2 linked regions of the Callithrix jacchus genome follow. The protein of the gene in region 2 interacts with the protein of the main gene of each other region in a biochemical or structural test. Links are inferred from orthologs where the notes say so. Each region holds a gene or a part of one and is shown on either strand. Other genes may lie near its edges. The genes, in order: CASQ2 and TRDN.

Region 1 (12,939 bases), on a different chromosome or scaffold from region 2:
AAGGATGTAAAGGACCTCTTCAAGGAGAGCTACAAACCACTGATCAAGGAAATAAGAGAGGACACAAACAGATGGAAAAACATTCCATGCTCATGGTTAGGAAGAATCAATATTGTGAAAATGGCCATACTACCCAAAGTAATTTATAGATTCGATGCTGTTCCCATCAAGCTACCATTGACCTTCTTCACAGAACTGGAAAAACCCATCTTAAACTTCATATGGAACCAAAAAAGAGCCCACATAGCCAAGACAATCCTAAGCAAAAAGAACAAAGCTGGAGGCATCATGTTACCTGACTTCAAACTATACTACAAGGCTACAGTAATCAAAACAGCATGGTACTGGTACCACAACAGAGATACAGACCAATGGAACAGAACAGAGGCTTCAAAAGCAAAGCCATACATCTACAACCATTTGATCATTGACAAACCTGACAAAAACAAGCAATGGGGAAAGGATTCCCTGTTGAATAAATGTTGGGAAAACTGGCTAGCCATATGCAGGAAGCTGAAACTGGACCCCTTCCTTACATCTTATACAAAAATTAACTCTAAATGGATTATAAGATTTAAACATAAGAACTAACACCATAAAAACCCTAGAAGAAAACCTAGGCTACACCATTCAGGACATAAGTACAGACAAGGACTTTATGACTAAACCACCAAAAGCAATGGCAACAAAATCCAAAATAGACAAGTGCAATCTAGTTAAACTTAAGGTTCTGCACAGCAAAAGAAACAATCATTAGAGTAAACTGGCAACCAACAGAATGGGAAAAAAATTTTGCAATCTACCCATCAGACAAAGGGCTAACATCCAGAATATACAAAGAACTAAAGCAGATTTACAAAAAAAAAAACCAAACAAGCCCATTCAAAAGTGGGTGAAGGACATGAACAGACACTTTTCAAAAGAAGACAAATATGCGGCCAACAAACATATGTAAAGATGCTCATCAACACTGATCATTACAGAAATGAAAATCAAAACCACATCGAGATACCATCTCATGCCAGTTAGAATGGCGATCATTAAAAAATCTGGAGACAACAGATGCTGGAGAGGATGTGGAGAAATAGGAACACTTTTACGCTGTTGGTGGGAGTGTAAATTAGTTCAACCATTGTGGAAGACAGTGTGGCAATTCCTGTCTAAAGGACCTAAAAATAGAAATTCCATTTGACCTAGCAATCCCATTACTGGGTATATACCCAAAGGATTATAAATCATTCTACTATAAGGACACATGCACATTTATGGTCATTGTGATGCTGTTTATGATAGCAAAGACCTGGAAGCAACCCCAATGCCCATCGATGATAGACTGGACAAGGAAAATGTGGTACATATGCACCATGGAATACTATGCAGCCATAAAAAAACGACGAGTTTGTGTCCTTTGTAGAGACATGGATGAATCTAGAAACTATCATTCTCAGCAAACTGACACAAGAACAGAAAAGCAGATACTAAATGTCTTCACTTGTAGGCGGGTGATGAACAATGAGAACACTTGGGCACGGGGAAGGGAACAACACTCACAGGGCTAGGTTAGGAAATGGAGGGGAGGGCAGGGGATGTGGAGGGAGAGTGAAGGGGACTGGGAGGATGGGGAGGGATAACACCGGGAGAAATGCCTGTTGCAGGTGACAGGTGGCGGGGGTGGATGGAGACAGCAATCCACCATGGCATGTATCTACCTATGCAACAATCCTGCAGGATGCAGGATGTGCACATGTACCCCAGAGCCTAAATACAATTAAAAAAATAAATAAAGAAAAAAATGATATGTTATGAATGTGTATTAATTTTATCAGCCAAGAAAAGTAATAAAATAATTTTTCAAATGTTTAAAAAAAGATGAAAAGATTATGATATTGAATGTTTGCAACACACGAAAAATGATAAATGTTTGAGGTGATAGGCATGCTAATTAACCTGATCTGATCACTATACATTACATGGATCACAACATCACTCTGTACCCTATGAATATGTACAATTGTTACTTGTCAAATAAAAAAAGAAGATGAAATGACACAACTATGGAGTGAAAGAAAATACTTATAAACCATATATCTGAAAAAGGACTGCTATTAAAAAAAAAACTCTCAAAATTCAACAACCAAAAAGCAATCCAGTTAAAAAATGAGCAAAAGATGTGAACAGGCATTTCATAGAAGAGAACATACATATGGCAAATACGCACATTTAAAAATGCTCAACATTGTTAGCCATTAGGAAAATGCAAATTAAAACCACAATGAGATAGTACTACATACCTGTCAGAATGACTGAAATGAAAAATGCTTATGTTACCAAGTCCTGATAAAGATGTGGAAAAACTAGATCATTCATACCTTGCTCATGGGAAGGTGAAATAATACAGCTACTCTGAAAAATAGTTTTGCAGCTTCTTTAAAAACTAAACATGTGACTACCATACAACCCAGTAATTATACTACTAGACATTTATCTCAGGGAAACTAAGACTCAAAAACCTGTACACAAGGTTTATAGCAGCTCTATTCATACTAACCAATAACTGGGAACAACCCAGACACCCTTCAATGAGTGAATGATTCAACCGACTATGGTACACTCATGCCATAGAATCCCATAAAATAAAAAAGCAATAAAAAAGAAATGATGTAGTGATACATGTAACAACCTGATGAATCTCTACATAATTAAACTGAGCGAAAAAAGTCAGTCTCAAAAGGTTACATACTCTATGATTCCATTTATGTAACATTCTTGAAATGACAAAAATTATAGGAATGGAGAACAAATTAGTGGTTGCCCAGGGTTAAAGAGGGGATGGGGACACAAACCAGTGGGTCTGACCATGAAGGACAACAGAGGGATCCTTGTGGCGATGGAAATGTTTTGTATCTTAACTGTATCAATGTCAATATCCAATTTGTGACGTTGTACCTCTGTTTTGCAAGATGTTACTATTGAGGGAAACTAGATGCAATGTGCAAGATAGCTCTCTGTATCATTTCTCACAATTACACATTAATCTGCAATTATCATTTTTTAAAGTTTAACTTAAAAAAAAAGCAATATTAATATTTCATGATCTGTCTAGTAGCATCTCCATTCTGTTTCCGTTTCAAGCCCCTGCTCAAACAGATGGCAAGAATTAGCTATCAGTCCTGAAGTAGCAAGTACACCCAACTTGCTCATATCTACGTTTCAGGAAGCTTGACATAATGCCAGCCTTGTGCTGGGTGTCACCATCTATGCTGGTGTCTACCCAGAGTAGTTTTCATCTATCTGTCCGTCCAAGACAGTGCTGCATCCTCCTGGCCTTTGGAGCTGAACCCCTGACCCCCGATACTCTACCAGTCTTACTGTGCTGCAGGAAACCTTGAGAGGACATCTCAGGTCTACTCACCCAGTGAGCATTCCTACTTCACAAGCCCAGGAGTCGGGGAAGTGAGGGGATGCTTGGATATTGAGGACATAAGACTCCTTTATTCTTAAGTCCTCTTGTGTTCCCACTCTATTCCAGGTACATTTGGCAGCTAGAGAAGGGCTCAGGGTCTCTTATCAATCATCCATGCTTCCTGATTCTTCTCTCTCCTGATCCAGATTTTTTCTACTCCGAGGGCAGAAAATGGTGTGTAATAGTGGATATATTCTTCCAAATGTTCTGTCTTAGGCCTGCTCCTCAGATGCTTCCTCTTGATTCTCAGCATTCTCCTAAATCATCCTCCTTAGGGGACACGAATACATTTCCTTTGCTGCGGTTGACTTGGTCACACAGTAGTAGAAAGTATAGAGAAAAACCCTTCCGTTGATGTATGAGGATAGTAATCCTGTAGTATTTCCTACCATCTTTCTGCCCTTAGCGCATTTATCTTTCCATTTGTTCCTTCAGCTTGTGGCCCAGGTCCTTGAACATAAAGCTATAGGCTTTGTGATGGTGGATGCCAAGAAAGAAGCCAAGCTTGCCAAGAAACTGGGTGAGTGTGACTTTTCAGATACAGTATCTCTTACACTATGTGGGAAAGAAACGAATGTGTCTTGCAAAAAGAATAGTGCAGTTGCAATGACTCTTGCATGAGCGAACTGTCTTTAAAGATATGTTACATGATCCTGCATGCCTTCGTCTTTGGCCGGAGAAGGGTTTTATAAAGGTAAACACAGGCCTGAATTGCATGGTTTCACATGAGTCATGTAAGCGATTGTTGTATCAGTACAATGAAGAAGACTTCTTCCTGGAGAAACACGCTCAAGAGTCAAGCTTTTGCTTGCAGCTTCCACAGCAAGCTGAAAGGCCAGCTTCTCTTGTCTCACCACTGTGGTCATCTCTCTCAGAGAGTTAAAAAACCCTCTTCTTTCATCACAGATTATTTCGTTGCCTTGCGACTGAAGCAGCCAACAAAACATAGTATTCATGGTAATAATGCCAGGGTAACGGTGCTTTTTAAATGTAAGGCTAACGCCCAGCTGGGCTTTATCACTGAGGACGAGAGGGAGGACAGAGGTGAGGATTAGTTAAGCGACCACATAATGGAAGTTGTGCTCTCCTGTGTCAATACGTCACACTTAAGTGCAGTGCACTTCAAGATTCACAGCCTCGCGATCTCAAAGAGAGAGAATGTTGGTAGCTCCTCCGGTTTTCTTTTCCTTTCTTTTCTCTTTTCTTTTTTTCCTTCCTTCCTTCCTTCTTTCTTTTTCTTTTCTTTTCTTTTTTTTTTTTTTTTTTTTTTTTGAGTCAGGGTCTCTTCTTACTCTGTCACCCAGGCTGGAGTGCAGTGGTGTGATCTTGGCTCATTGCAACCTCTGCCTCCTGGAATCAAATGATTCTTGTGCCTCAGCCTCTCAAGTAGCTGAGATTACAGTCACATGCCACCACACTTGGCTCATTTTTTTGTATTTTTAGTAGAGACAGGGTTTCATCATGTTGGCCAGGTGGGTCTTGAACTCCTAACCTTGAATGATCTGCCTGCCTTGGCCTCGCAAAATGCTGGGATTACAGGTGTGAGCCACCACTCCTGGCCTGTTCCCCTGATTTTCACACACTGACACACATGTACTGCCCATTTGGCTTTTTCTGCATGATCAGTGAAGAATGGCTGTTTAAAAAAAACAGCAGGTTATAAAACAGGACCTTTGAAGAAAGGTTAATCAGATTTGGAGTAGTAAGTACAGGAAAAAAAAAAAGTTAGTGGTGGTCCAATACAGGCCTTCAGGTACATGAAAGTCCATTATCCTGCAAAATTACAGACAACTGTTTCCTGTTTTATTTTCAAGAAGACCAGTCATTTTCAAAAAAGATTTAAATTATAGGAGACTATTTAGGTTAGACGTAAGAAAGAATTCATGACTATAAAATTATAATGAGTTATTAAGAATGTCTGGGCACTTTGGGAGGACAAGGGCAGAGGACTGCTTGAGCCCAGGAGTTTGAGACCAGCTTGGGCAACTCAGTGAAACCTCATCTTTACAAAAAATTTAAAAATTCACCAGGCATCGTGGCATGTGCCTGTAGTGTCAGCTACTTGGGATGAGAGGATGGCTTGAGCCAGGGAGGTCAAGATTGCAGTCACTTCCACCTGCATGATTCTGCCACTGCACTCCAGCCTGGGCAACAAAGTGAGACTCTGCCCCAAAATAAATACATAAATAAATAAAGCCTGGGATGCCTCTTTCCCTAAAGACATATTAAGGGATATTTTTCTCCCTCGAATATGGGAGCAAAATATGTTAAATTCTTTCCCTAGAGTTAAAAACAATTTAATGAATTCTGCCTCCTCCCCCAACAGTCTCTTGATTCCTCTTCTGCCTTCCTATTGCTTCATGAGAAGCTAAGTTTGGGAGAATTTCCAGCAAATTTAGTTACATAAAAAGCTAGTGTCCCAGTGATCAAAACATTTTGGGTGGACAAGTTGAGCAAGTATACATAAAAATAGACTGGCAAAGAATATGAGGGGCTTGATACATTGAAACAAACTTTTCTCCAAGCTCAGCTTGAAAGAGTTGGGGCAGGTTCCTTCTTGCTGTTTAGTCCCTGGTTTACAGGACAGCGGAGGTATTTTGTGAACCTGCTTCTTCATCTTCATTCCTCTTCCCTTTGCCTTATTTTGGCCTCTGTCAGATTGTGCCTGAACAACTGCAGCAGCCTTCTAACTGTGGTTTTGCCCAAGACAAAATCTGACAGCAGGATACTGGCTAATGCTCCCTAGGGCACCTTTTGAGATCAGCCATCACTGACATCAAGAAAATCTGGCAGAACCGGACACGATGTCCCATGCCTGTAATCCCAGCGCGTTGAGACCAACCTGGGCAACATAGCCAGACCTTGTCTCTTAAAAAAAAAAAAAAATTAGCCAGCATGGTAGCACATGCCTGTAGTCTCAGCTCCTCAAGAGGCTGAGGCAGGAGCTGTGATCATGGCCCAGCAATCCAACCTGGGTGACAGAGGGAAACCATGTCTCAAAAAGCAAAAACCAAACAAACAAAAAAGAATACCTGGCATGTTGCTCCTTTTGATTTACAAATGGTGCCCCCACCATTTCCCCCCATGTGCCAGGGGCTCCTTATACATCATCTATGGCTTTGGACGCAACAGGCAGCAGTCCAGCCTTCCTGTCCCTGGAAGTTCTGCAGAAGAGTTCATTGGGAGAAAACATTCTCCAGCTAATAGTTTTAAAACAGTCTAAAGAATTAAGGATGCCATGCAGTTGGACCAAACGCCAGCTTTGGCTATTTAACATTCCTGGGGAGAAAAATACAGTTTTCCAACAAGCATTTGTTATGGTACACAACATCAGACCAAGGGTGTGCCACAAGGCAGAAAAATAAGAAGATGCTGAGCCTGTCCTTGTCATACCTACTAGCCAACCGGGTAAAGAAGATGTGTGGGATTCAACCGGAACGGGAAGCAAGCTGTCCATCCTGGCCGCACGCATTAGCAGGGTGCTAATACACCCAGGCGCCGTACGAGGCACTGAGATACCAGTGACAATGATCCCACCCTCAGAGAACTCACTGTGATAGTGAAGGCCTGTAAATTGAGTTAAGGAAAGATCAATAACGGTATGGGCTCAGTGAGACTGAGGTGACCTTTCTTAAGAAAAATGAATCCTAATCTGAGACCTGAAGAAGCTAATCAAGACGGAGGTCATTCCAAGCTGGGGAACAAGGAAAACATAAGTCTGGAGAATAATGCTCTGTGACTTTCCTGCCACCCACCCTTTCATATAAGCAAGTGGGAAGGAAGCACAGGGAGTTGCACAAGGGACAAGAGAGCAGTTCTCAAAGGAGCATGGGTCTACCCAAGGGAGAATGAAAGGGACAGAATTGGAACCAGATTTTGGAGGGACTTTAATGCAAGGCTAAGGAGCCAGGTGGGCGGTGGCCACTAAAACTCTTTGATAAGGAGAATGACACGAGATCAGCTGTAGTTTTGGAAAACTAAAGCAGTGGTGGGGTGGAGAATAGACTTTTAAGTTGAAATCCAGGTGGAATTTTTCTTGACTATTTCCAATTAAATGTCCACTTCAGGAGCTCTTCAAAAGTGTTATTTTAGGGGAATTGATTCTTGGGTTAATGCTGGTTCCACGAATCCTGAACCCACTGTCACCCAGAAACCCTGAGCCAGACCTCAGCCAATGCAATGTCTCGTCCTACATCAGGATGACCCTCTCTGTGGGCCTCTTTGTTTCTCACAGGTTTTGACGAAGAAGGAAGCCTGTATATTCTTAAGGGTGATCGCACAATAGAGTTTGATGGCGAGTTTGCAGCTGATGTCTTGGTGGAGTTCCTCTTGGATGTAAGCATTTATGCACAGTGACCCTGCATGGAGCTGTCTCTGCTCCAATATATGGAGATAGAACCTCAAAGAACAGAAAAGCCAGAGAACCTGACCTCGTCTGTGACAGGATTTTCAGGATTCACAAAAAAACTAAGGAGCACCTATATTATTGCACTGTCTACTGGGAAGCTGATCTTTAAGTCACCCTAGAAACTGCTGGGGACCATATAGTAGTAATATGCTAATTCTCTTACCAGTGATACATATTAAAATTTCCTTGGCTTTGCTCCACTACTGCTGAAGAGGAGCTGGGAAATGTGGGGAGAGAGGGGGATAACCAGAGAGGGGGGACAGGAGTATCAATCAGCCAGGTCACCCTGAGTTAACTACCCTCAGAGCAACACAGAGAAGTGGCAGAGCTAATGAGCCTCCCGATATCACACTCATTTTCAGCCATGAACTTACCACACACTCATATCCATATGCTCAGAGAAACAGAGGAACAAGCATTATAAAAATATTTCAACCATAGATAAACTCACACTTTCAGTAACTGCTGTGAAGTCCAATGCTTTGAACACATGTTCTTGCATAGATAAAGGACCTGCTGTTGAACATCCGTGCCGACCATTCCTTATCTATCAGCTAGAACTCGGTGGTCTATAGTTCTTTCTCTACAGTGTCAAAAACCAGAGGGAAGGTCAGAAGTGAGTTGGAAGCTACGTCTTACCAAAACCGTGCCATCTCATGACCCATTGTGCTTGGCCATCTCATTGACCCACACCCACAAGCCCTAAAACAGTTGAGGGGGTGACAACTCTGGGACAACATGGTGCTGCCCCAGCCTGATCAGCTAGGAGGAGGCTTTTGGAAATAAGACTGACCACGTCAAACAGTAAACAAGGCGACTGACTCAGATAAATAGAAGCCTCCATTAGGGCAGACTTTACCCTTCATCAAATCCAGACACTGGCTCCATTTTTCTCTGTAAATCACAGATAACTCTGTTTTCAGTATGTTGCCTGTGTCCTCAAGCTGACGATTCTCAATGTGAGCTATAAGATGGCCAGAGCAGGAACCAGCACATCACATTTCCTCATTCATGTTCCATGACAGAAAAAACAAATTTGGCTTCCCATTGCCCTTTTAAGTGTAAAGAGCTTCTCCCAAAGCCTTCAGCAAATCTGTCCTTATTGGGCTAGTTACTTGCCTATTCCTCAATCAATAACTGGCAAGGGAAGTTATGAGATCCACCTAAATATCCAGCAGATGAATGGATAAAGAACGTGTAGTATATACACAAACGAATAATATTCCAAATGACATTTCTTGAAAAAAAGGAAGAAATGTCATTTGGAACTATACAGGTGGAATTGGAGAACATTATGCTAATTGAAATAACCGAGGCACGGAAAGACTAATAGCACATGTTCTCACCTATGATATGTGGAATCACAGAAGCAGAGACTGGATGGGGGCTGGGAAATGGAGAGATGATGGTAAAAGAGTGCAAAGCCTCAGTTAGACAGGAGGAATACGATTCATTCTTTGAGATATATTGTAGAGCATGGTGAATATAACAAATAATATGTATTACACATTTCAAAATTACTAAAAGAGTAAATTTCAAATGCTCTCACCACAAAAAATGACGGATAAGTTAATTAGCTTGATTTAATTATTTCACCTTGTATTTATAGATCATAGCAACACTTTATATCCAATAAATACAAGTATAATTTATCAATTTACAATTAAAAACTGGTTTTTAAAACTGGCAGAAGGAATAGGTTGCCCCCACCAATCATCTCATTCTTTGAGCTAAGGTCTAGTCCTCAGAAGGTACTGCCGTATGCTCACTGGGGGTTTGTGGGGAGAGCAGAATAGGTATTTGAGGCACCACCCACAAAGTCTGCTACGACTTCCCTCCAACACACTCTATTTTCCCAGTGGAGAAGGAAATCTCTTGTTTGAACATATTTTTGTGTGTGTGTGTGTGTGTGTGTGTGTGTGTGTGTGGCATTTCAGCTAATTGAAGACCCAGTGGAGATCATCAGCAGCAAACTGGAAGTCCAAGCCTTCGAACGCATTGAGGACCAGATCAAACTCATTGGCTTTTTCAAGAGTGAGGACTCAGAATGTAAGTTGTCTGCCAACCCCAACCTATCAGTCTAAAGGCTAGATTTCCAATAAGGTACCTCAAAAGGGATGGGTCTTCAGCACCTCTTTTGCTGGGTAGAATTCCCTCCTGAGCCTAACACTGTGGAGCACATGTGCAAAAGTTATACAAAACAGTCAGGAAAGCTGAAAGAATATTAAGGTGGGGCCAGGTTCTCTGGCTTTAAAGCAGGCTGAGTGGTCTACAGAAGGGAGAAAAGCCCTTCTTCACTTTTCCTGCCCACCCACCCCTCAGTCGGATTCTCCCCGACAATGGGACAAGCAACGGGCTATCTCCCTGGCATTGGCAGCTCCTCTGGTCACCAGATGGAGAACTTCGCAGTCAATTGGAAAGCATGAGTGGAAAATTGGGGTAGGGATGGGTTTAGTAGCTGCTACAGAGTGTGAAAAATCGCTGGCCAAGGCTGTAGCTGACCACCAAGGCTGCCTGCCGTAGTGCAGCCACACCCTTGGGCATATCCCTTGGAAAGCTTTGTGACCAGGTTTCGGGTGGACACAAGGACTTATGATAGCATCAGCACAGCACAGCCCATATAGAGATGAGAGGGTGGTGGGGGTGAGTCAGGAAGATCAGGAAGAAGGGACCAGGAGGAGTTAGACTTAAGTACTGTACATATTTAAAAACTGCTTTGGCAGCGTGGGTCCAATGAAGTAGGCTTTTTTTTTTTTTTTTCCAGTGTCTCAGCCTTGGAGAGAGAAAAAGCCTTAGAGGGGGTGAACAGAACTCTGGTAGCATTCATACAAGTAGGAAGTGCAAGCGTGGGCTGCTTATGACTATTTCTGGGAACCCCAAAATATTCTGAAGTTGTTTCCAAGCCCATTTCTTTAACCAGTCTGCCTGCTAGTATCCTTAGTCACCTCTTCAACAACCCATTCCTTTGCTGTCTCCCACGCCCCAACTTAACCCTGTCCTCATTTGCTTCCTTCAAACCTCCGTTTACAGTGCTTAAAATGAATATGCTAGAGGGAGGTAGCTAGCCAGGAAGATTTGCCCCAGTTCGTCTTCAAGCGACTTTATTTTAGTTTGTACATTTGCGTATCAGTGCTGACTGCTCTGGGGTGCTTCTCCTGCCCCTTCTTTTTCAGTTCCTCCACCTCAATTTGTTTCCATCTTTACATTTCTCTATCCTCTTCATCCATGTAGCTCAGGATGGCAGATAAATGGGAGGCAAAGCCAAGGTTAGGATAGAGAGCACACCTCCCAGTACCTTTCTTTCCCACCTGGATGAACAATCATAATAATACTAATTAACACATTTCATATGCCAGGGCCTATGCTAGGAGCTTCTATGGATGCCTTAATTTCATTCTCACAGCAAGCCTGTGAGGTGGTTATCATTATCATCTGCTTGTTACTGATGATGGAAGGATGGAACTGAAAGGTGCAATTCACCTGCCCATTATCACACAGCTAGTAAATAGTGGAGCCAAGACTGAGATCCTCGGAATGTGACTTTAGGGTTTATACACTTAACTACTGGGCTATATTTTCAAGACTTTGTAAACTTAGGTCATTGCACATATAAAATGCGATAATGCTTGTAGAGTATAAAATGGAAGTAAACATGAAGGAATTGGGCTTCGTGAAAAAATTAACTTTGCAGTGTACAATAAGAAAATATCATGAAATATATTACACATTGCATTGTAAAATTTTTCCAATTAAAAAAAAATTTGAATGAGAATGTTATGCTTACTTCAAGAATATAGCTGTTTTTTGAGATCTAGTTTTTCTCTGTTGCCCAGGCTAGAGTGCAGTGGCATGATCTCAGCTCACTGCAACCTGTGCCTCCTGGGATTAAGTTATTCTCCTGACTCAGCTTCCTGAGGATTATAGGTGCCCGCCAAAACGCCTGGCTAATTTTAGTATTTTTAGTAGAGATGGAATTTCACCAGCTTGGTCAGGCTTGGACTTGAACTCCTGACCTCAAGTGATCCACCCGCCTTAATCTCCGAAAGTGCTGAGATTACAGGCATTAGCCACCATGTCCAGCCTAGAATATAGCTTTTAGATATTAGCTTTTATGTTTAAATAACAACATGAAATTCCTTATCCAGATTTTAAATGACGATCTCTTCAAATTCTTAATGATCACCATCGACAAGAGACTTCACTTGTATATGTGGATGGTGACAAAAGGGAGGATAATATCCATTGCTTTTTCTTTTCATTTCTTTTTTTTTTTTTTTGAGACTGAGTTTCACTCTTGTTGCCAACGCTGTAGTGCAGTGGCGCAGTCTCAGCTCACTGTAACCTCTGCCTCCCTGGTTAATGTGAATTTCCTGCCTCAGCCTCCTGGGTAGCTGGGACTACAGTCACCTGCCACCACGCCCAGCTAATTTTTTTGCATTTTTAGTAGAGATGGGGTTTTACCATGTTGGCCAGGCTGGTCTCGATCTCCTGACCTCAGATGATTCACCCGCCTCAGTCTGCCAAACTACTGGGATTACGGGCGTGAGTCACTACGTCTGGCCTGCTGTTTCTTAGACTGACGAGCATTCTTTTTCTGCCATCGGACATAATGCAGAGAATTCCACCTCTAAAGTGTCCTTTAGGGCACTTAATTCAATCTGACAGCTATTCCTTTTCTTTCATTGACAAATATAATGTTTGTATTCTTTATAATAATTTGAATGAATGTGAAAGGGTTACAAATCCTAATTAAATTTTTTTATATCATAGTATTTCAAAATAATGAAGCTTTTCCTTAGGAATACACAGATATTGCTCTACTCATCTTAATAATTGTTCTTAAAATTTAAATAATCAAATTGCAAGTGAGTCACTTTAACCTCTTTTTAAGGTGGGATTTTTGTTTTTAAATGTGTAAACTTTGTTAGTACATTATATATTTCACCTGGTCCTTGTAATTTTCAATTAAGTACATTCAGGTGGGTGTTTCGCAAGGTCTAGCCTTTTTTGAAGCCACTAATGATCTCTCGAAATACTTTCAAAGTAAGTATAATTCACAGCATATTTC
Region 2 (12,939 bases):
GCTAAGTGCCAAGAAAAGAAAAAAAGTCAGGAAAATTAATTTCCAAGAGCAGTAGATAAATGGCACACCTCATTAGAAAATCTATTTAAAAGGCACATCAGGAGATGTCTGCAAGTCTTTTCATAAGAAATTGATGCTTCCTACCATCATGTCCTTGCTGGCTCTCTTCTCAGATTACTGTTGTTACTTCCTAGTAATAAGATTCAAATTCAAGTTACATTTAATGAGTCCCTCCAATGTGCAAGGCACGTTATGTTTTACATAGATTATTGTATTTAAGTCTTACAAAATTGATTTGAAATAGGTATATTTTGTGGAATGCTTGCAAAAATTACCAGATACTCTTTAAGACACAGTGGTACAACCATATAATAATGTTTTCCTCTCCTGGATGAGGGTGCTAATAAATGATGATCCTCGTACTTAGGCATGAAAAGCTAAGAGTTACCACACTCTATTGCTGTACATTCTGACCTAGAGGAAAATTATCAACATCCACTAATGCCATAGTTTGTAGTGATTTCTTTATACATCCTATTTGTTTGAACTTCTGATTGTTTAGAAAGAAAGTTGTCACTTCATAAATAAAACAAAAGAAATTTGTAAAAATTTAAACCAAAGCTTACAAATTTTGGCCCCAGAAGACCAGAATACATTATCAGGCACCCCTCCATTTTCTGAGAAGGGGGTCTTTCTGGCTGAGTCTGCAGAAGCTTGGGGGAAGATCTCCAGCAGCCTTTGTAACTCCCTAACCCCAATTACTAAGATAATAATGTTTCTCTGTCCCCCAATTCCCACTTAGGGTTTTGAAAACATTCTTCTTTGAGGAAAGAACTAAAGTCAATATGGATAACAGAGTGATTATACATCTTGGTTTGTCCCTGATATCCTGAGGTAAATCTTAATTGCTCTCCATTTCACTCTCACAAGTATCCCATTTCAGTTGTTAAATTATATAGTTGTCCCATATGAAGGCTTGTTCACCGTCAATACACAAAGCTGGAACTCTTTTCCAGAATTCCCTTACATGCATGTTTTCAGATAACAGTTGGAGACAAGAAATTGCTACAAGTTTTGGAAAGCACAAATATGGTAATAATGAAGCCATTGTTTATTAATAATGAAGCCATTGTTATCTGAAGGTTGGTGTAGGGCAGATGCTTTTGCAGCTCATGATCACAGAGAGTCTAGTTGCCCTTGTTGTGAGGCAACAGCCGCCACATCTCCAGTGCACACTGGGCTGGCTCCTTCAGCATCTCCAAATCCCGGTCAAGCGCGCCTGCAGTTCCGTGGGGGAAAGGCATCAATTTTTCCTGCAGCTCATCTGCATAATCGTAATTTGTGTTGGTAAGAGACAAACAAGTCCTCCAGTTTGTTTTTGTCAGTTTCAGTTTGTCCTTAGTCCCTCCCATTCTATCCATTTTGCCTTCCCAATTTCCACCCTGACTACTTTTCACTCAACACCAGATGCACTGCAACAGCCTTACATAGATTGATCAGCTGCCGTGAATTTGTAAACCATATAATAAACCCTTATTCTATCTAAATCAGAGTAGCTTTTGGCAACTGTGTCAAACATTGACAGATACATATCAATATTATTTGGATGTTATATTAAGTAAGAAATGTGGCATAGGTGAAATATCTTTTCCAGTCTGTTTATTTGGTGCCCTAAAATTTGTCTCATTTGATAAGAAGAATCAAAGTCAAAATTTTGCAGAATAGAGAGCAAGATGTTATCCCCATTTCACAGACAAGAAAATATAAGTTCCTAGTCATGTTAGCTTGTAGGTTCATAGAGCTGAACAATGAACCCAAATCATCTAAATGAAGCCCAAATAAAAGCCAATTCTGCATTTCCTGCACTAGTAGAAAATATATGCATAAATCAGATATAATTCTGAAAATAGGGAATGTAAAGGTTGCCCAGAAGAGAATTCTTCTCAATCCAGTATAGTACATGCTTATGAAAACAGATTTCTATTTCTCTATGAACAAACTTTTCATGGCTTCACAGCATTTACCTACTTTTCTCAAGTTTCAGAGATCAACTGAAGACCCAGTGGCAGCTGGCTTCACTTTCTGGCCTTCCAAATCATTTCTGGCACACTTTCTTCACCACTAACCTTCTTTTGTAAATATTAACAATTACATATTTCAAAGATTATCACCTAGCACTAAAGATTCATCATGACAATATTAATCCTTAGCAAAAGTTTGAATTGTGTTTATTAAAATTGACATTAAAATATGAGAGTATAATTTACATTTTGAGACTGTTATTGAAGCCATAATTTATACAGTTCTTTCATTTTTGTAATACACATATTTCAAGAATTGCATATAAATCAAATGTTTGTCAAGTTAAAAATTGTACAAGTATACTACAGAAATTATCATTGAAAGGAATTTGTTCTTATTTTATAAAATGCATGGCAACCTATAATTAGATTTTTAGATTAGATTACTTAAATATAAGGCATACTTATAGTTCCCAGTAGAGTTTCCACTGGACCACTACAATTAATTTCTCTGGACAATGCCTATGTTACTGGCATTTCATCTGACAGGGAAATAATTTAGTCAATGCAAGCTCAAGGAAAATAAAATTTCATAGAGTAAGATAACCAAGTGTTTTTTACTTAAAACTCTAGGTCATAATTTTACATTATAGACATTTCAACTATATATATATATATATTAAGAGCCTCTAACACACAATAAATTGTGTATTGCCTATTTATGACTCTGGATAAATAGCCCTTTTTCTTTTGCTGACATCATGGGACTTAGCTCTACTAGTTAGATGATGCCCATTTTAGTTCTAGCTACCAATGATCTGCTGGCAGACTCATCTCATTCACACCTTGTATTAGGTCTTTCTTGCATTGCTATAAAGAAATATCTGAGACTGGGTAATTTATAAAGAAAAGCAGTTTAATTGGCTCACAGTTCTGCAATCAATACAGAAACATGGCACTGGCATATACTCAGCTTTTGGTAATGCTTCAGGGGGCTTACAATCATGGTGGAAGTTAAAGCAAAGGGGTAGCAAGCAGATCACATGGATGGCCAGAGGAAGACCAAGAGAGATAGTGAGGGTGAGGGGGTGCTACATACTTAAAAAATCAAATCTCACAAGATCTCCTTCACTATTGTGAGGAAAGCACCAAGGGAATTTGCCAAATCAGTCATCAAAAATCCACCTCTATTAAACAATAATAGCCCAAGAGACCTCACCTCCAACACTGGGGATTACAATTTGACATGCAATTAGATGGGACATATATCCAAACTATATTATTTTATCCCTGGCTCCTCAAATCTCATTGTCTTCTTTCACTGAAAAATACAATCACCCCCTACCAATAGTCTCTCAAAGCCTTAATTCATTCTAGCATTAACTTTAAAGTCCAAAGTCGCATCTGGAAATAAATTCCTTCCTTCCATGAGCCTATAAAATCAAAACAAGTCATTTACTTCCAGGGTACAATGAAAGTACAGGCATTGGGTAAACATTCCTGTTCCAAAAAGGAGACATCAGCTCAAGGAAAGGAGCTAAGGCCTCATGTAAGTTGAAACCCCACAGGGCAGCCATTAAATCTTAAGTTTCCAAAATAAAATTTCACTCCATGACCCACATCCTGGGCACACTGATATGAGGGGTGGGCTCCCAAGGAATTGGGCAGCTCTACACCTGTGACTTTGCAGGGTTCAGCCCTGGAGGCTGCTTTCACACATTGTTAACTGCGTACAGCTTTTTTAAGTGCAAGGTGGAAGCTGCCAGTGGATCTGTCATTCTGGGGTCTGGAGGACAGTGGCCCCTTCCCACAGCTCCACTAGGCAATGCCCCAGTGAGGAATCTGCGTGTGTCCCCCAGTCACACATTTTCCCCCTGCATTGCCCTAGTAGAGGTTCTCTGTGAGGGCTCTGCCACTGCAACAAACTTCTGCCTGGGCACCTAGGCTTTCCAATATCCTCTGAAATCTAGGTGGAGGCTTCCAAGCCTCTTTTACTCTTGCACTCTGCATGGCTGCAGGTTTAACATCACGTGAAAGCCACCAAGCCTTATGGCTTGTGCCCTGTGGAGTGGCAGCCTGATCTGCATCTGTGGCCTTTTAAGCCACAGCTGGACCTAGAGCAGGGAGAATGTAGACAGCACACTTCTGGGGCTGACCAGGGCAGCAGGGTTCTGGGCCTGGCAGAGGAAATCATTCTTCTCTCCTGGACCTCTGGGTCTATGATGAGAAATACTCCTGCAAAGACCTCTGAAATCCCTTCAAGGCCTTTTTCCCATTTTCTTGGCTATCATCAGCACTTTGCTTCTTTTTATGCAAATTTCTCTAGCAAATGGTTGCTCCACAGCCTGCTTGAATTTCTCTCTCAAAAAAGCTTCCAGTCTGCTTGAGTTCCTTTCTCAAAAAAGCTTTTTCTCTTTTTGCCACATGGTGAGGCTGCAAATTTTCCAAATTTTTATACTCTTCATCCTCTTTAAAGAGAAATTCCACTTTAAGTCTTTTTTTTTTTTGAGACCAAGTCTGGCTCTGTCACCTAGGCTATAGTGCAGTGTCATGATCTTGGCTCACGGCATCCTCCACCACAAGGGTTCAAGCAATTCCCCTGCCTCAGCTTCCTGAGCAGCTGGGACTACAGGTGTGACACAATGCCTGGCTAATTTTTTTTTTTTTTTTTTGTATTTTTAGTAGAGACGGGGTTTCACCATGTTAGCCAGAATGGTCTTGATCTCCTGACCTCGTGATCCGCCCGTCTAGGCCTTCTTAAGTGCTGGGATTACAGGCATGGGATACCAAGCATGGCCCCACTTAAGTCGTTTTTTTGGTTCCCACATCTTAGATCAGGTTGTTAGAAACAGCCAGGCTACATCTTGAATGTTTTGCTGCTTAGATATTTCTTCCAGCAGATACACTAGGTCATTACGCTCAGGTTCATACTTCTACAGATTCTTAGGGCATGAACAGAATGTATCCAAGATCTTTGCTAAGGCATAAAATGCGTAAACTTTGATCTGGTCTCCAATACGTTCCTCATTTCTATCTGATACTTCTTCAGCTTGGACTTCACTGTCCATATCACTATCAGCATTTTGGTCTCAACGATTTAACCAGTTGCTAAGCAGTTTCAATCTTTCCTTCCTCTTCCTATCTTCTTTTGAGAAATCCAAACTCTTCAAACCTCTGCCCATTACGCACTTTCAAAGCTGCTTCCACATTTTCACGTATCTTTATAGCAATACCCCACTCTTATTACCAATTTTCTGTATTAAGCTGTTCTTGCATTGCTATAAAGAAATACTTAAGACTGGGTAATTTATAAACAAAAGATCTTTAATTGGTTCACAGTTATGCAGGCTGTACAGGAAGCATGATGCTGGCATCTGCTTGGATTCTGGAGGGGCTTAGCTCACAATAGTGGTGGAAGGAGAAGAAAAAGGAACAAGCATATCATATGGCCAGAGAAGAAGCAAGAGGGAGAGAGTAGAGGGGGCAGGTGCCACACACTAAAACAACCAGATCGTACGAGAACTCACAATTGTGAGGACAGCACCAAGGGGACAGTGACAAACCATTCACTAAAAGTTCATCCCCATGATCCAGTCACCTCCTGCTAGGCCTATCTCCAGCACTGGGGATTGTAATTCATCATGAGATTAGAGGGGACACATATCCAAACGATATTACACCTTTATGCCAATAAACCCATATAACAGAGTTCTATATTTTCATAATTTTATATCACATTTCTTCTTCACATCTGTGCCATAGCCATTTCCTGACACATAAACACTTGATAAGTAATTGTTGAATGAGTAAAATTCCATAATGAGAAATAGGAGATCCCTGAATATATAGAATGTAAATAATAGTATTCATAGTATCTGGGACCTACTGATTCTACTTCTGTTGGAGAAAGAAAAAAGGAGAGGGGAGAGTATATATGAAAGAACACATTAAAAGGTTAATGAAATATTTTTTGCTTGTGGTAAAAGGGTGATGAGAATAAATTCACTCATCTAGTCATTTAACATTTACTGAGCACTTGGCTGATTCCTTTCCTAAGGAATTCACTGTCAATAGAGTGTGTCGTATGTGAAAATAGATAAATACTGTTTAAAATATGTAAAATATCTTTGACCAAAAAAAATGAGCAATATACTCAAAGAGTTGGTAGGCTATAATGAACATCTGTCTTTTCTACTTTGTGTTAGTCCTATTTTACTCCAAAGTCATAAGAACATGTGGACACTGAAGATGTAATATCTCATTACATGTTATTTTGTGAAAAACTCTATTTTCAGGAACTCTATGTAGGATGGCTTGGCGGGAGAAGCAAAGAATTTGTCTAGCAAGGAAGCTTAGGACCAGATGACAGAGGGGCTTAAAAAGACCTTAAAATATTCTCCATTTGGTCAAGTTTTCTTTTGGTTTGATTTTATATTGCCAAGTGTAAAACCTACAAATTATTCCTTATTACGCTTCATAAAGTACCAGTTCCAAAATAAAATCTTCACCCAAGCTTTTTAACTACTATATGAACTGCAACATTCAGCCTTTGTTCAGCTCTTGCAATTGAGGATATCAATTTCATTGGAAGTCATAAGTACAACAGACAAACAGAATGGAAGGAAAGGGAGAAGAATAAAACAGATTTCAATGATCCTCAAGCATATATGTGCGATGCCTTCTTTCTCACACTGAGATGAAAGGGAAACCCAGCCAGAACTTAGAGGGAGCATTGTTTCTTTCAATTTAAATTACTTTTAATTTTAAAGCCAAATTTCATGGATCTTACCTGAAAAGTTTTTGTAATCCACTAAATCAAACATAACGACGGCAACAGCTGACCACGTGATTATCAGGGCAATGACCAGAAGCCAGGCTGCAGGGGAGCTGAATGTCGTCACTATGTCTTCTGTGACTGTCCTCTTCAGCACTTTTCCAGGGGATTTGGGCACAGATCCATTTTTGCTGTCTATGACAGTTGTGGTTGTAGATGCATTTCCTAATCAAACATTCAGGAAGGAAAATATAATTTAGAAATTCACGTTAAATATTGATGACAAGAAACACTAACTGTAAGAGGGTTGAACCTGTTTATACCACTTTCTAGAGCAGACACCACTCTTTTGTGGCAGTACAAAGCCTCTGTGACCACTACTAGCCCATTATCTTTTTTTCAGCATTTGCTGTTCACCTTCAAACTCATTTGCTCATATAATCAGCATTTCTCATCTCCCAAGTCCTGTGAGGGGAAAATCAAAATGAGTGATAAAATGGTTTAAATGGATAAAACTTTTGAATATTTTAACTTAATTGCATAACTGACCCATCTAGTGAGGTCATCTAATGAGGTCATTCATGTTTGTTTGTTTGTTTGTTTGTAGGGACACAGAAGATCTAAGAGAATGAGGTTAGAAAATCTTTCTATACCCAGTAACTCTTTTATTTCTGATTTTGGGTCCACATGTTCATGAGAGAAAATTCAAAAATTATAAAAATAAAATAAAGAGATAATATATATTTTTATTTTTATTATGATTATTTGTTAATTTTTTATTGCATTTTAGGTTTTGGGGTACATGTGCAGAACATGCAATACAGTTGCATAGGTACACACATGGCAGTGTGTTTTGCTTCCTTTCTCCCCTTCACCCACATTTGGCTTTTCTCCCCAGGCTATCCCTCCCCACCTTCCCCTCCCACTGGCCCTCCCCTTTTCCCCCCAATAGACCCCAGTGATTAGTACTCCCCTCTCTGTGTCCATGTGTTCTCATTTTTCATCACCCACCTATGAGTGAGAATATGTGGTGTTTCATTTTCTGTTCTTGTGTCAGTTTGCTGAGAATGATGTTCTCTAGATTCATCCATGTCCCTACAAACGACGCAAACTCATCATTTTTGATTGCTGCATAATATTCCATGGTGTATATGTGCCACATTTTCCCAATCCAGTCTATCATTGGGCATTTGGGTTGATTCCAGGTCTTTGCTATTGTAAACAGTGCTGCAATGAACATTCGTGTGCATGTGTCCTTATAGTAGAACGATTTATAGTCCTTTGGATATATGCCCAGTAATGGGATTGCTGGGTCAAATGGAATTTCTATTTCTAAGGCCTTGAGGAATCGCCACACTGTCTTCCACAATGGTTGAACTAATTTACACTCCCACCCACAGTGTAAAAGTGTTCCTTTTTCTCCACATCCTCTCCAGCATCTGTTGTCTCCAGATTTTTTAATGATCGCCATTCTAACTGGCGTGAGATGGTATCTCAATGTGATTTTGATTTGCATCTCTCTGATGACAAGTGACGATGAGCATTTTTTCATATGTTTGTTGGCCTCATATATGTCTTCTTTCGTAAAGTGTCTGTTCATATCCTTTGCCCAATTTTGAATGGGCTTGTTTGGTTTTCTCCTGTAAATCTGTTTGAGTTCTTTGTAAATTCTGGATATCAGCCCTTTGTCAGATGGGTAAACTGCAAACATTTTTTCCCATTCTGTTGGTTGCTGATTCACTCTAGTGACTGTTTCTTTTGCCGTGCAGAAGCTGTGGAGTTTGATTAGTTCCCATTTGTCTATTTTGGCTTTTGTTGCCAATGCTTATGGTGTTTTGTTCATGAAGTCCTAGCCACTCTTATGTCCTGGATGGTTTTGCCTAGATTTCCTTCTAGGGTTTTTATGGTGCCAGGTCTTATGTTTAAGTCTTTAATCCATCTGGAGTTAATTTTAGTGTAAGGTGTCAGGAAGGGGTCCAGTTTCTGCTTTCTGCACATGGCTAGCCAGTTTTCCCAACACCATTTGTTAAACAGGGAATCCTTTCCCCATTGCTTGTTTTTGTCAGGTTTACCAAAGATTGTATGGCTGTAGATATGTTGTGTTGCCTCCGATGCCTCTGTTTTGTTCCATTGGTCTATATCTCTGTTTTGGTACCAGTACCATGCTGTTTTGATTATGGTAGCCTTGTAGTATAGGTTGAAATCTTGTAGTGTGATGCCCCCCGCTGTGTTCTTTTTGTTTAGAATTGACTTGGCTATGTGGGCTCTCTTTTGGCTCCATATGAAGTTCATGGTGGTTTTTTCCAGTTCTGTGAAGAAAGTCAATGGTAGCTTGATGGGGATAGCATTGATTCTGTAAATTACTTTGGGCAGTATAGCCATTTTCACGATATTAATTCTTCCCAACCATGAACATGGAATGTTTCTCCATCTGTTTGTGTCCTCTCTTATTTCGTTGAGCAGTGGTTTGTAGTTTTCCTTAAAGAGGTCCCTTACGTTCCTTGTAAGTTGTATTCCTAGGTATTTTATTCTTTTTGTAGCAATTGTGAATGGCAGTTTGTTCTTGATTTGGCTTTCTTTAAGTCTGTTATTGGTGTAGAGGAATGCTTGTGATTTTTGCACATTGATTTTATATCCTGAGACTTTGCTGAAGTTACTTATCAGTTTCAGGAGTTTTTGGGCTGAGGCGATGGGGTCTTCTAGGTATACTATCATGTCGTCTGCAAATAGAGACAATTTGGCTTCCACCTTTCCTATTTGAATACCCTTTATTTCTTTTTCTTGCCTGATTGTTCTGGCTAGTACTTCCAGTACTATATTGAATAGGAGTGGTGAAAGAGGGCATCCTTATCTAGTGCCGAATTTCAAAGGGAATGCTTCTAGTTTTTGCCCATTCAGTATGATATTGGCTGTTGGTTTGTCATAAATAGCTTTTATTACTTTGAGATACGTTCCATCGATACCGAGTTTATTGAGGGTTTTTAGCATAAAGGGCTGTTGAATTTTGTCGAATGCCTTCTCTGCGTCAATTGAGATAATCATGTGGTTTTTGTTTTTGGTTCTGTTTATGTGGTGAATTACGTTGATAGACTTGCGTATGTTGAACCAGCCTTGCATCCCCGGGATGAATCCTACTTGATCATGATGAATAAGTTTTTTGATTTGCTGTTGCAATCGGCTTGCCAATATTTTATTGAAGATTTTTGCATCTATGTTCATCATGGATATTGGCCTGAAGTTTCCTTTTCTTGTTGGGTCTCTGCCGGGTTTGATATCAGGATGATATTGGTCTCATAAAATGATTTGGGAAGGATTCCCTCTTTTTGGATTATTTGGAATAGTTTCAGAAGGAATGGTACCAGCTCCTCTTTGTGTGTCTGGTAGAATTCAGCTGTGAACCCATCTGGACCTGGGCTTTTTTTGTGTGGTAGGCTCTTAATTGCTGCCTCGACTTCTACCCTTGTTATTGGTCTATTCATAGTTTCAGCTTCCTCCTGGTTTAGGCTTGGGAGAACACAGGAGTCCAGGAATTTATCCATTTCTTCCAGGTTTACTAGTTTATGCGCATAGAGTTGTTTGTAATATTCTCTGATGATGGTTTGAATTTCTGTGGAATCTGTGATGATTTCCCCTTTATCATTTTTTATTGCATCTATTTGGTTGTTCTCTCTTTTATTTTTAATCAATCTGGCTAGTGGTCTGTCTATTTTGTTGATCTTTTCAAAAAACCAGCTCTTGGATTTATTGATTTTTTGAAGGCTTTTTCGTGTCTCAATCTCCTTCAGTTCAGCTCTGATCTTAGTTATTTCTTGTCTTCTGCTGGGTTTTGAGTTTTTTTGATCTTGTTCCTCTAGCTCCTTCAATTTTGATGATAGGGTGTCAATTTTGGATCTCTCCATTCTCCTCATATGGGCACTTATTGCTATATACTTTCCTCTAGAGACTGCTTTAAATGTGTCCCAGAGATTCTGGCATGTTGTGTCTTCATTCTCATTGATTTCAAAGAACTTCTTTATTTCTGCCTTCATTTCATTGTTTATCCAGTCAACATTCAAGAGCCAGTTGTTCAGTTTCCATGAAGCTGTGCAGTTCTGGGTTGGTTTCTCAATTCTGAGTTCTAACTTGATTGTACTATGGTCTGAGAGGCTGTTTGTTATGACTTCAGTTGTTTTGCATTTGCTGAAGAGTGCTTTACTTCCAATTATGTGGTCAATTTTAGAGTAGGTGTGATGTGGTACTGAGAAGAATGTATATTCTGTGGATTTGGGGTGGAGAGTTCTGTAAATGTCTATCAGGTTTGCTTGCTCCAGTTCTGAGTTCAAGCCCTGAATATCCTTATTGATTTTCTGTCTGGTTGATCTGTCTAATATTGACAGTGGAGTGTTAAAGTCTCCCACTATTATTGTGTGGGAGTCTATGTCTTTTTGTAGGTCATTAAGAACTTGCCTTATGTATCTGGGTGCTACTGTGTTGGGTCCATATATGTTTAGGATCGTTAGCTCCTCTTGTTGTATCGATCCTTTTACTATTATGTAATGGCCCTCTTTGTCTCTTTTGATCTTTGTTGCTTTAAAGTCCATTTTATCAGAGATGAGAATTGCAACTCCTGCTTTTTTTTGCTCTCCATTTGCTTGGTAAATCTTCCTTCGTCCCTTTATTTTGAGCCTTTGTGTATCCTTGCACGTGAGATGGGTTTCCTGGATACAGCACACCGAAGGGTTTTGGCTTTTTATCCAATTTGCCAGTCTGTGTCTTTTGATTGGTGCTTTTAATCCATTTACATTTAGGGTTAATATTGTTATGTGTGAATTTGATACTGCCATTTTGATACTAGCTGGCTGTTTTGGCCGTTAGTTGTTGTAGATTCTTCATTATGTTGATGCTCTTTAGCATTTAGTGTGATTTTGGAATGGCTGGTACTGGTTGTTCCTTTCTATGTGTAGGGTCTCTTTCAGGAGCTCTTGTAAAGCAGGCCTGGTGGTGACAAAATCTCTGAGTACTTGCTTGTTCGCAAAGGATTTTATTTTTTCTTCACTTATGAAGCTTAGTTTGGCTGGATAAAAAATTCTGGGTTGAAAGTTATTTTTTTTAAGGATGTTGAATATTGGCCCCCACTCTCTTATGGCTTGTAGTGTTTCTGCTAAGTGATCTGCTGTGAGTCTGATGGGCTTCCCTTTGTGGGTGACCCGACATTTCTCTCTGGTTGCCCTTAGTATTTTCTCCTTTATTTAAACCTTGTTGTATCTGACGATTATGTGCCTTGGGGTTGCTCTTCTTGCGGAATATCTTTGTGGTGTTCTCTGTATTTCCTGCATTTGAGTGTTGGCCTGTCTTGCTAGGTGGGGGAAATTTTCCTGAATAATGTCCTGAAGAGTATTTTCCATCTTGGATTCATTTTCTTCATCACATTCTGGTACACCTATCAAACGTAGGTTAGGTCTTTTCACATAGTCCCACATTTCTTGGAGGCTTTGTACATTCCGTTTTGCGCTTTTTTCTCTGATCTTGGTTTCTCATTTTATTTCATTGAGTTGATCTTCGACTTCAGATATTCTTTCTTCTGCTTGGTCAATTTGGCAATTGAAACTTGTGCATGCTTCGCTAAGTTCTCGTGGTGTGTTTTTCAGCTCCTTTAATTCATTCATATTCCTTTCTAAGTTATCCATTCTTGTTATCATTTCCTCGAATCTTTTTTCATATCTTTTTTCAACGTTCTTAGTTTCTTTGCATTGATTTAAAACATGTTCTTTTAGCTCACAAAAGTTTCTCATTATCCACCTTCTGAAGTCTAATTTTGTCATTTCGTCACAGTCATTCTCCGTCCAGCTTTGTTCCCTTGTTGGTGAGGAGTTTTGGTCCTTTCTAGGAGGCAAGGTGTTCTGGTTTCGGGTGTTTTCCTCCTTTTTGTGCTGGTTTCTTCCCATCTTTGTGGATTTATCCACCTGTCATCTGAGTAGTTGCTGACTTTTCGATTGGGTCTCAGAATGGACACCCAGATTGTTGATGATGAAGTATTTCTGTTACTTGGTTTTCCTTCTACCAGTCTAGCCCCTCCACTGTACGACTGCTGAGGTCCACTCCAGGCCCTGCTTGTCTGGGGTGCACCTATAGCAGCTGCGAAACAGTGAGGGATGCTACCAGTTT

The links.
Region 1: the proteins of TRDN (region 2) and CASQ2 form a complex in vitro, tested with the Homo sapiens proteins (3 studies listed by BioGRID). The link is inferred for Callithrix jacchus from reciprocal best matches to the Homo sapiens genes TRDN and CASQ2.

Annotation. Positions count from the first base shown.
Region 1 is NC_133508.1:153,731,735-153,744,673, reverse strand, and holds part of CASQ2 (calsequestrin-2), read left to right. Parts: intron 1-3,898; coding exon 3,899-3,983; intron 3,984-7,697; coding exon 7,698-7,798; intron 7,799-9,808; coding exon 9,809-9,920; intron 9,921-12,939. UniProt on the Homo sapiens protein: Calsequestrin is a high-capacity, moderate affinity, calcium-binding protein and thus acts as an internal calcium store in muscle. Calcium ions are bound by clusters of acidic residues at the protein surface, especially at the interface between subunits.
Region 2 is NC_133505.1:130,111,102-130,124,040, forward strand, and holds part of TRDN (triadin), read right to left. Parts: intron 7,021-12,939; coding exon 6,811-7,020; intron 1-6,810. UniProt on the Homo sapiens protein: Contributes to the regulation of lumenal Ca2+ release via the sarcoplasmic reticulum calcium release channels RYR1 and RYR2, a key step in triggering skeletal and heart muscle contraction.